2 linked regions of the Schizosaccharomyces pombe genome follow. Changing the gene in region 2 together with the main gene of any one other region gives a genetic interaction. Each region holds a gene or a part of one and is shown on either strand. Other genes may lie near its edges. The genes, in order: lon1 and yta12.

The links.
Region 1: mutations in yta12 (region 2) and lon1 impair growth when combined (synthetic growth defect), as found in Schizosaccharomyces pombe (one study listed by BioGRID).

What each region holds. Positions count from the first base shown.
Region 1 is NC_003424.3:691,956-697,913, reverse strand, and holds lon1 (Lon protease), read right to left. Parts: upstream 4,177-5,958; 5' UTR 4,084-4,176; coding exon 880-4,083; 3' UTR 784-879; downstream 1-783. Other genes in the region: GTP-binding protein involved in beta-tubulin folding Alp41, read right to left, coding at 29-109, 148-293, 346-418, 459-513, 559-623; mitochondrial aspartyl/glutamyl-tRNA amidotransferase subunit B-related Aim41, read right to left, coding at 4,853-5,065, 5,189-5,347; atp20 (F0-ATPase subunit G), read right to left, coding at 5,930-5,958.
Region 2 is NC_003423.3:4,313,902-4,319,618, reverse strand, and holds yta12 (m-AAA protease Yta12), read right to left. Parts: upstream 3,812-5,717; 5' UTR 3,332-3,811; coding exon 1,010-3,331; 3' UTR 750-1,009; downstream 1-749. Other genes in the region: GET complex subunit Get1, read right to left, coding at 16-77, 171-537, 586-672; fit1 (CoA pyrophosphatase (FIT) family lipid storage protein), read right to left, coding at 4,379-5,131. UniProt on the Schizosaccharomyces pombe protein: Catalytic component of the m-AAA protease, a protease that plays a key role in proteostasis of inner mitochondrial membrane proteins.

The sequences.
Region 1 (5,958 bases), on a different chromosome or scaffold from region 2:
AGCTTGGATTCATAAATTGTAAACTGACTTTGCTAATTTCTTCGGATGAAAGTGCGCCGGAAACGTCAGACTTATTAGCGAGAACCAAAATTGAAGTAAACAAAAGTTTCTATATGCATGTTAAGATAATTCACATTTTCAGCCTACCTCTTCTACCAACAATTCTTGTAATGTATTTCTGCATTCTTCTAAACGTAAATCATCCAAGCTGTCAACAACCCAAATAATTGCTTCGGTTGATTCAAAGTAATTTTTCCAAAAATTTCTTAGCGTTTTCTGCCCCCCAATGTCCCCTTGAATTAGTAAGCTTAAGACTGTTCATTTCGAAAATTGCAAGCTACGTACATATCGTGAATCGGAGTCCTTCTACTTCAAGCGTTCGAATTTGAAAGCCAAAGGTAGGCGAAACTTCATTTACCTATCAATCGATAAATTATGGAGCCTTAAAAGATACTTACATCCTCGTTCAACAGGCACTTCAAAATTGTCGTTTTACCTGCATTATCCAACCCCCTAAAGTCATTAGATTTCACTCTGTATATATTTGAATCATCTTACAGTAACAAAACCCTGACTTCTCGTTCCTTTAGCTTTTGCTGTCTCAAAATAGTCAATAATCCCATTTCTCAATAGTAGAGTAACCAAGAAATAAGAAAATATGCGATGAATTTGCCTTGCATTGCGTTACTCAACAAGGGCTTAAGCTATCAACTTTATAGAAAGATATTACTGTTTTACGAACGATTGAACAGAATAAATTCAAACTACATGTTGTCTTTTAAATATAGCACAATACATAAATCGTTATTAACTATATCTATTACATAATGAATTTAGATAATTTCTTCATAAAGGTAGTATCCTTCTAATAGGAGAATGTTAATGACTGGGTGAAATTTGATGCTGCTTGGAGGATGACTTTATTAAATTTGGCCAAAGATTGTTGCATTTTTCGGCATCAATGTTTGAAAAAACCCGTTTAAAAACATCATCATACCATGCAACAGGGACACCAGTTAAACCTTCTTTAACATAATCAGGAAGTTGTTCCCAATCGGCTAAGTTACTTTTTGGAAATAGTATTTCTTTCATACCAGATAATTTGGCAGCAACCGTCTTTTCTCGTAAGCCACCAATGCGTAAAATTTTACCGGTCAAGGTTAGCTCACCAGTCATGGCAGTAGTCGCTGGTACCGGAGTATCCAATGCTAAAGAAAGTAAAGATGTAGCCATTGTGATACCTGCTGATGGGCCATCCTTAGAAATGGAGCCTTCGGGACAATGCATATGCAAACGCGCATGTTCAAAAAATTTATTATTTGGAAAATGCTTAGACAAAAAGCTTTTTGAAAAGGAATACGAAATTTCAGATGACTCTTTCATCACATCTCCCAGTTGCCCCGTCCTTTCCAAAGAGGGAGTAGAATTGGATGATAAAATGTTTTTAACAATAGTTTCTACATACATCGAAACACCTCCCATGGGTGTCCAACCAAGTCCCATGACAACACCAGGAGGAGTAGTGTCATAAAGTCGCTGAGAAGTATAAATGGGGGGACCCAAATATTTAGTCAAGTCCTTTTCTTCAATCTCGATATTAACTTTATCGGGAACTTTTAACGGAACAGATGATGCTTCTTTGTTTGCTGCATCTTCTGATGATTGAGGAGATGTTTTCTTTCCCGACTTACCCGTAGACTTCTCTTTAGAATTTAATTCATCGTCAATTTCTTTAACAATACTAAAAGATGTTTTACGAAATATTTTCTCAATAGATTTTTTCAAATTTCGTACACCGCTTTCATGAGCATAGTAACTAATTAAACCCTTAATAGCGTCATCACTGATATTCACATTAGCATCCTTTAAACCACAAGCAGCTTTGGCTTGGGGTATAAGATAACCTTTAGCAATGTTAACTTTTTCAGCTGAAACATATCCAGATAGTTCAATAACCTCCATACGATCCAACAAAGGTGGAGGAATAGTATCAATGGTGTTCGCCGTGCAGACAAATAAAACAGATGAAACATCGAGTGGAATATCCATATAGTAATCTAGGAAAGCTGAGTTCTGTTCTGAATCTAAAAGCTCTAAAAGTGCACTCGCAGGATCCCCTTGATGACTTTTGCCCACTTTGTCTATTTCATCAATAAGAATCAAAGGGTTCTCAGTTTGCACCTTTTTCAAAGCTTGCACAATTTTTCCAGGCATTGCTCCGATATAGGTACGACGATGTCCTTTGATTTCAGCGACATCAGTCAGACCGCCCACACTGAAGCGAAAGAATTCCCTGTTTAAGGCAGATGCAATAGATTTTCCAACAGAAGTCTTACCGACACCTGGCGGACCAACTAAACACATAATCTTTCCTTGCATAGTTCCTCTTAGCTTACCTACAGCTACTAACTCAAGAACACGATCCTTAACATCTTTAAGCCCATAATGATCTCGATCAAGGACTTCCTTTGCATGATCTAAATCGAAATTTTCAACAGACCTCTTTCCCCAAGGAAGTTGGGTTATCCAGTCCAAATAATTACGAGTAATGTTAAATTCAGCAGCCATTGGTTCTAAATGCTGAAATTTGGACAGTTCATCATTGAAAACCTTTTTCACGTGATCAGGCATACTCAAGCTTTCAGTTCGTTTCTTGAACTCAGTTACTAATGCTTCTTTGCTATCAAGTTCTTGTCCAAGTTCTCTTTTAATTTGCTTTAGCTGTTCGGTTAAAAGATATTCTTTATGGCGTTGAGTTATCTTCTGCTCAATTTCCTTGTTAATTTTATGCTGAAGTTGGGCATTCAATAGTTCCTTTTTTAGTACATACAAAGCCTTTTGCAAACGATCTCCTATATTTGTAGCTTCTAAAACCTCCTGTAATTCGCGATGATCTGCAGCCGAAACAGCGGCAGCAAAATCTGCCAATTTAGCAGGTTCATCAAAAACATTGCCAGACGTTTGCGATATTGAAAAATTGGCAATTTGTTCACGAAAGAGGGGACTAACGTTTGCAATATCTTTGAAAACATTCATAATCTCAGACGTTACCGCCTTAATTACAGGATCCTGTCGTTTAAAAGGTTCATTAGGAACGTTTTCGACATTAACAAGAGAGACTTTAAAGTTTTGAAGAATTGAGGGTGTGCTTTCAACTTCCTTTTCAGGTTCCTCTTTCCCATTGTCTTGTTTGAGATCAGACTTAACTTCTCCATTGGAAGAAAGATTAGAGCTTTTATCGGTTTCAAGTTCTGCTGCGTCTGAAGAAGCAGCGCTATCAGCATCCTCTTTTGGAGGTATCAGTTCAGTTATTCGTATCCTACGGTGAGGGTATAAAACAGCAGTCAATGCAGGTTCACTACCACTTTTTGCTGGAAAAATACTGGTGATTTGAGCGAAAACACCGACCGGGTAAACCTGATCAATGTTCGTTATAACATCGGTATCAGTGTTTTCATCCTTCAACAAAAACGCGCCGATATAAGGTTGTCTCTTTTTAATCAGTTCTTTAATGGCCTCTGAAACAGAGGGATTTTTGGTAACTATGGCTTTATAAAAACCAGGGAAAAGAGGTCGTCGCGCAATGGGTAACGCAAGTAATTGAGGATACACATCAGGAACCGAATATTTGGCCGGAACATTTTTATTAAATTCCCCATTTAAAGGCATTTCATCCTCATTTTCTTCACCACCTAATTCAAATTCGTCATTTTTAGACTTAGAAGCTTGTGTAGCAGAATACTTTTCCTCAGTCTTATTTGAAGAAGATTTCAAATTTTGCTTAAAATCGTCATTATCCTTTTTTTTCTTTTTATCCGTAGATGGCAAAGATTCGTTGGTATGTGACTCATCTTCATTATGTGTCTTTTTGGGATCGTTTTTGTTATCCAGTGGTTTGTTATCTTTTGGTTCTTTACTTTTGAAAACAACATTTGAAGTACGAAAAGGTCCGACTGAGCATTTTAAAACCCTCTGTGTAGTGGAAAAACTAGCAAGCAAAGACCGATGAACCAAATGTTCACGAGGCCAATTTCTTTTAGCACCTGATCGCCTCAAGCAAGCGCCCGATAAACGTGTAATCATGGGCCTGTACGAATTTAAATTACAAACTGGCACAAAGAACGTTTCGGGCTATTATTAATTTTCTGGCGTATTTAAAGGTAGTTGGTAATTGCTGAGTTAGCTGGTAAGTCGCCGTCACATAATGAGCGCAAAGAGGGAATTGGCTTACTTGCCTCCAACCTCCAATGCTATTAAATAAACCATTCAAGCATTTAATACAATACTCATTATAAAGGAAAAAAATTAAAGTTTCCAATTTTTTCGGCTTCAAATAGTTCAACAGATGAGATATCGAAGCGTTGCAATAGTTTCACTTACTTTACCGCATTAACTTTTATTTTAAATAATTAAGATACCGATCGCTTATCAAATTTTAACCAAAATTTCATTACTAATAATAAGATAATGCTGTTAAGAGCTGAAAACAGCGACGATTGTTTAATTTAATTGTATGAATGGAAACTCACATGCATAAATTGAATCAGTGTAAAAAAACTCAGAAAGCTTCTCATTACATAAGTCTTAGCTGTTCAATTCAAAACATTGAAAGAGCGCATAGCATTTACAGGATATGTAATGATACGTTGCAGAATCAATCGTGTCATATTGCTGCGTAGTATAACATTGTTATTAAAAAACCAAAAGAAACTGTCTTTAGTAGCGTGGCTTGCACACATTAAGAACGTTGAGTTATTTAAGTCAAGATATTTTTAAATTCGAGGGTAAGCTGATAAAGCATTGAAGGATAGAGACTTATTAAATGACTAGATTGTATTCTTTTTACAGATTTTTAAATATTACTAGCATGTTCAGGTAGGAATTGTCGTAAAGTTTGAATCTGAGATTCTTCTTTTTCCGCTAGATCAAGACGCTCAGCCTTGCGAAACTGTTCAATAGCTTGTTTACGCTTTTTTATGTTTTTTTTAAGTACTCGCAGAACGTCTAAGTCTGTAGTAACTGGCTTACTCGACTTGTTTGCATATTCGATTTCCGAGAGAAATACCTAAGCTTGTTAGCGTCATATTCATCTACAAACATAGATAACATAGTTCTGACAGCCTCTTCACATTGCTTGAACACTGATGCAATTTAACATGTAGACCGTCACGTTTTATTTCCAACGTACTTTTAAAGTAGACGCAACATCTTTTTGCCTAGATTTCATGGAATCCAGCAATTTTTTACGAATAACTGCTTGAAGATTTGGGATTGCTGAAGCGTTAGCAAATAAATGACTATTCCTAAGTTTGCTTACATGTACTATTATAGCGTAAGTATTGTACATTACGAATAGCTATCCTTGATGTGTGTACTAAGCGTTGATTAAACATTGAATTCTTTTTCTTGGATTATGTTTTCAGGTCAGACCCAAAAATTCCCCTAAAGGTGGTGTAGCGCAGAAAGTATTTGGTAGTAGGATTATCCCATTTTGTTTGGAGATGTGGAAACTAAAATATGCGAAATCGCTCATTGACAGTGAGGTAACTCCATCAATTTAGCAATATTTATTTATTAGTACAAACTGATTTTAAGATTGATTGCGAAAATGAGACATTTGCTTTCGGTAGATTTTACAATTAAATTAATGGTTATTCAAAATCAAAATTGAAAAACAAGCAATACAGTGCCGGGTAATAACACTTACGCCTACAATTAGGTCCTGCTACCTAAGACCTATAATTTAGTTTCCCTATTAACAGAAATGCTTTATAAAGACCTCATCTTAATATGTTAACAAAAGATAGTTATTAATAGTCTCATTTATTGAACAGCCTGGTGTATGTTGGAGACAAAATGAATTCGCAGTAGTTGAAATGCATAAGTATCCAGCAATCAGAAGCTTTTATGAAAGATTAAATTCATCTTTTTAATGATATGGAGTAATTTTTCTACGAC
Region 2 (5,717 bases):
TTGATGATTTGGAGATCAAAATATCCCGGAAATAGTTTTTTGAACCGCAAAATTCCAAACTGTTAAGCTAACCGATCCTACATGCCATGTTAGTATTTCAGCTGCCATTGTGATAAATGAAAATAAAAATAAAAAAAAGATTTTCAGAATTTTCATTAAAAACAACATACCGTAGATTGATCGTGGAAGAGATAGCACCCATAGAGCCCAAGAAGGAAGCAAGAATGCAGGGAGGAAAAAGACAGGTGTTTTGGACTCTTTGAATTGAATATAAAACCGGAATCCACGGGTTAAAATCCAAAGAAAAAGGCTTAAAACCCGCTTGAAAGTATCTTGGAAAATTTTAACATTGGCTGATTGTTTTTCCCACTCTTGACTGAGTTGTTCATACTTTCTATTCAGACGGGCCCATTTAGCAAACTGATCTTGACTGCTAGTAGCGTTTAGCTCTTTCTTAACAGTAAGCAGCTGCTCTAAAATTTCTTTGTTCTTCTTTAAATCTTTATTATTAGAAACACTAACGTAAATTCGATAAGCCTTTCACATTATTAGTTTTCTTTACAACAAGTATATATGTTAAATTACCCCATCAATAGTCCTTTTTTTTGCAAATTTATCGAAGAAATGAATAAATAAGCTTAATAAAATTGTTGAAATAATCAGATCCATCATAAAATATGGACTTGTAAGAAAGTACAGTGGTTAGTGTCAAACGTGTAACTGTTGAGTATCACGCTCCCTATGACATGCTGGTCTAAAGGTCGAAACTAAACACAAGTTTGTTTGTTACGATATTAGCTATTTTGTGTTAGAAAATAATAATCTATTAACCTTTTAAAGTTCAGAAGAATTGATGTTAAGTATATTTATCTAGCTTCTGTAATATTAAATAGAAAAAATAGATAAAATAGCTATATGATATTCAATTGACAAATACTTTGATCATGAGATCCATGAAAGTAACTATTTTCATTCATAACGCTTTATTTAAATTCAGTAAATTGACAAATTAGGCAGAAGGTTGTTGAGGAGATGGGGGGATTGGTGGATTTCGAGGATCGTGATCATTTTTATACTCAGACTGACGCATAAGTTCAGAAATATTTAAATGTTTGTATGCATATGGCCTTGGTCCAAGAATCGTCTCAACTTCGTTATAAGTGATGACTTCTTTCTGTAATAGACGTTGAGCAATATTTTCTAAGCCTTGCTTATGTTCTAGCAAAAGTTTCTTAGTTCTTTCGTATGCATGCTTTACAAGCTTTCGAATTTCTTCATCAATCATTTGAGCTGTAGCCTCAGAAAATGGTTTTTGAACAGTTTCCCGAGTGTCGATGGGATAAGCTATAGTACCAACAGTCGGAGACATACCATATTGGGTCACATACGCTTGAGCCATGCGCGTTACTTTTTGAAAATCATCGGAAGCTCCCGAAGTAATCTTTTCTGGTCCAAAAAATATTTCTTCAGAAACACGCCCAGCCAAAGCCATTCCCATTTGATCTAAAATCTGCCCTCGACTCATCAGATACTGATCTTTGGGTAAATAACTAGCATAGCCAAGGGCTTGAGCTCTAGGAATGATTGAGACCTTCAATAGTGGATCGACGTACTCCATAAACCAACCAGCTACCGCATGTCCAGCTTCATGATGAGCAACGGTGTTTTTTTCTTCAGGACTTAGTACCCTACTCTTCTTTTCCAAACCTGCCGTGACTCTTTCAATAGCTTGCTCAAAATGTACCATTTGGACTTCATTACTATTTGATCGTGCTGCAATTAACGCTCCTTCATTACATACATTCATTATATCAGCTCCTGTAAAACCAGAAGTTAGGACGGCAAGACGCTTGGCAATTAAGTCGATGTTATCGGCTGCCTTAATATGCTTAAGGTGGACCTTAAATATTTGTTCACGACCGCCAATATCAGGACGATCAATCGTAATTTGACGATCGAATCGACCAGGACGTAGAAGTGCCGGGTCCAATACGTCTGGTCGATTAGTACCAGCGAATACGACGATATGTTCGCTAGACGTAAAACCGTCCATTTCAACTAATAGCTGATTAAGAGTGCTTTCGCGTTCATCATTGGAACCAAATTGTCCTCCACGTCCTCTTGCTTTACCAATTGCATCAATTTCATCTATGAAAATAATACAAGGAGCGTTCTTGCGAGCAGTAGCAAAAAGATCTCTTACGCGGGAAGGTCCAACACCAACAAACATTTCAAGAAACTCAGAACCTGACACACTTAAAAAAGGGACGTTAGCTTCACCAGCGGTGGCTTTAGCAAGAAGAGTTTTACCGGTACCAGGAGGACCAGAAAGAATGGCACCACGAGGAATTTTAGCCCCCAACCTTTCATAAAACTTGGGATTTTTTAAAAATTTGACGAATTCCATAATCTCTTCTTTAGCCTCGTCAACGCCAGCGACATCAGCAAATTTTATTTTGATATCAGTTTCATGATTAAACATCTTCGCTCGGCTCTTACCAATTCCAAAAATGCCACCTTGACCACCTCCTGCGGCACCCGAAGCCCGTCGCGATAAATAAATGACACTTCCAATGATCAGTAAGGTGGGAGCAAAAGACAATAAAGTAGCAAGAACAGAGACTTCGTCATGATAAGCGACAGGGACAAATTCAGAAGGTGGAATACCCAGTTGACGTTGTGCATCCTCTAGTTTTCGATCGAAAGAGTCGATGGAACCAATTGAAAAATAGTACTGCCCTGAACCTGAAGCTACACCGCCTCTCAAAATAACTCTAACCATATTGCGGTTAACAACAACTAGCCGTTCAACTAAACCCTTGTCTAAAAACTGTTGTCGAAAATCTTGCCAAGTAATTTCTTGCATATTTGCATTAGGCGAGAGAACATTGTAAAGGATATAGGCAACTAAAATTCCACCTAAAATAGTGTTGCCATTTAAGGCTATTTCAAAAACTTTTTTCGGATCATTGCCATTCAATCCCTTCTTTTTTGAATCATCATTTTTCTGGCCATTTTTCCTACCATTAGCATCAGAATTGGATCCTGAAGACCCATTTTGCGATCTTTTTGAGGTTACGCTAAATTGTTTAGATGAAATGAGAGGGATTTTATGTTTTTCCGGTATTCCTTTATTTATTTTAAGGGACTGAAAAGATCTCTGAGAAAGTGAGAGAAGAGAAAATTGTGAAACAGCTGTGGAACGTGTAGAAAAAGTATAAGCCCTTGCCAAACGCAAAGAAGAAAAATTATCCTTCTTTACGAATTTAGAAACCAGGTAATCTCCTGTTTTCCTAGTAGGTGCCCTAAACGTCAAAAAGGGATTTCGCATAAGGAATATTATATGGAAATAAGTCGCAGGGTACAATAACTTGAATTGAGCGTGTAAGGGCAAGTATAATATATAAAACCCTCAATATCGAAAGAGATAAACGTAAATGATTGTTTTAAGAAAAATATCCTTCGTATATGACGAGTAAAGGTGGATTCTAGAATTAAAAAATTCAAGAAAGCAGTAATTAATCGTTCAATTCAGTAATTGAGACCAAAACGAATAGAGACGAAAAGTTATAAGGTTGTATTAAAATAAAAATTTATTATTACCTCCGGACATGGATTTGGGCAACCTCCAAAAAGCGTTATGAAATTGAAGAAATTCCAATGTTTCACGTCAGCAAAAATGGTAATTAAAAGGAATAAGAACACAGTTGTCACTTTTTTTTCAGCTCAATAAACCCGTTACTAATCCTGTCAACAAAAAATAGCCTAAAGGAAGGATAATATAGATGCCTTGGACTTGTGTGTTGTGGGTAGTGACAACCTTCCGAAGCATTAGTCATTTATTATGGGCACCGACCGTAATGAAATCAACCAACTTCTTAGCATTGTCTCTATTAATTACTATAGATTTACTAAACGTATTACAAGTATATTGTTGACAAATTAAAATACATTATAATTTGCTGAATGGATAATATTAGCGAGTTGATTTACATTACTAACTTAGATACCATAATAAAAAACATTTATGCATATTTGTATCAAAAAAAAAAAAGGAATAAATAATAGTCACTATAATATGCAAGCTTGATAAAGAAGAAACTTTACGGCTATCAAATATATATGGAAGAACGCATTTTCACTCAAAACAATTGACGAGTATTTTTCCCAAGTAAAATACTCTCTAAAATATACTTAGTTTTGGTAAATAATGAAAAGATTTTTTTTATCATGATGGCACTATCGTAATAATCGACAGAGAGATAAAAGGGTCATAAACAAATAAGTTTAGAGAAGGAAGGATATGCTATGTCACAAGTGTTGCACTATATAAAACAATCATTTAGAAGCATAGTTTAAGGACAAATGGTGGTAAAGGCTAGTAATCGGAGGATCCTAAAAGATCAGCGACCGCTGGCATTCTTGAAGAGAACACGTAAACAATAGACCATTCTAAAATACCAGAGAAAAACCCGGTACATTTTTCAAAAGTAGTATGGTAAAAGGATGCAGTAACAAATAACATCCACCACCAAAGTCCAAGAAGACCAAAAAGTACTTTAGTAGATGTAGCTTTTATTCCATTATTCAAAATAAATGAAAAGTTTTCAGACAACATAAACAAGCTCGAGTGAGTTAACAAGAAAACATGGCCCGAGAGATCATGACCACCAGACCAAGATCCGTTTAATCCCTTGCAAGTGGAGGCGGTAAGTGGAATGAACACAGATGAATCACCATCAAAGTTTTTGCAACTTCCGCCAGATAATGCAAAGGTTCTATCAATCAGGCCAGGTCCTATAAACCATTGGGTTACAAACATCCACCATAGAGTGGCCACTATATACCTTGAAATAAACTTGAAGTCAATTTTGTTTCTCTTTTGATCCCAAGCATGATAAAAATATACTAAAGAAGTCCAGAACCAGCCTCTTTTTACAAAAATCAAATTAATCAAATTTTTCGAGTTTCCAAAGTAAGAGGTAATCGACCATTTGTCAACATAAATGCTATAAATGCTACCTAGAAGAAGTGTAGTGGCATATATTTCAAACAGAAGTATATCTTTGCGACGAAGCTTCAATATAGAGGTTTCTTCATTCCAATAATGACTAGCAGTTTTTTCAGTCATTTTTTTTAAATAATTTTTATTAGGCAGACAACGTATACAAATTAAACTTAAAAATAAAGATAGAACGGTGTAGTGAAAAGCAATTAATTCATTGAAAGAGTTAAGGACATGTATACCCTGGGAAGTTTGGTGTAGTTACACCACCAACTTACGTGCGTAGACTAGAAAAAAAACGAATCATTGCCTCACGTTATAAGAGAACGAAAAGAAATAGTCCTTAATTGTGGATAATTAAATATACGAATTCTTTCGTTTTTTAAGTTGCCATATAACGCCTATTTTGCCTATTTTTGTTAAAAAGCTAGCAAGGCGTAAATCTATCATTTCTCGCTACGATTTGAGTATGCATAATCAAGCCAAAATTATTTCTGTTAAAAATGTTAAACCCATAAAATTACTATAAAGGAGGTATTTGTATAAAGAAAATTAGAAAAACCGTTAGCAATTAATAAAAAGTATATATTATTATGACTTTCCTATTTATTTCATACAACAAGCGAACTGGAAGACAGTTAGACTCATAATATTTTGCCATTAATCAGATTATGCATTCTCCAATGTAAAGAAATTTAGCATAAGAATTTTC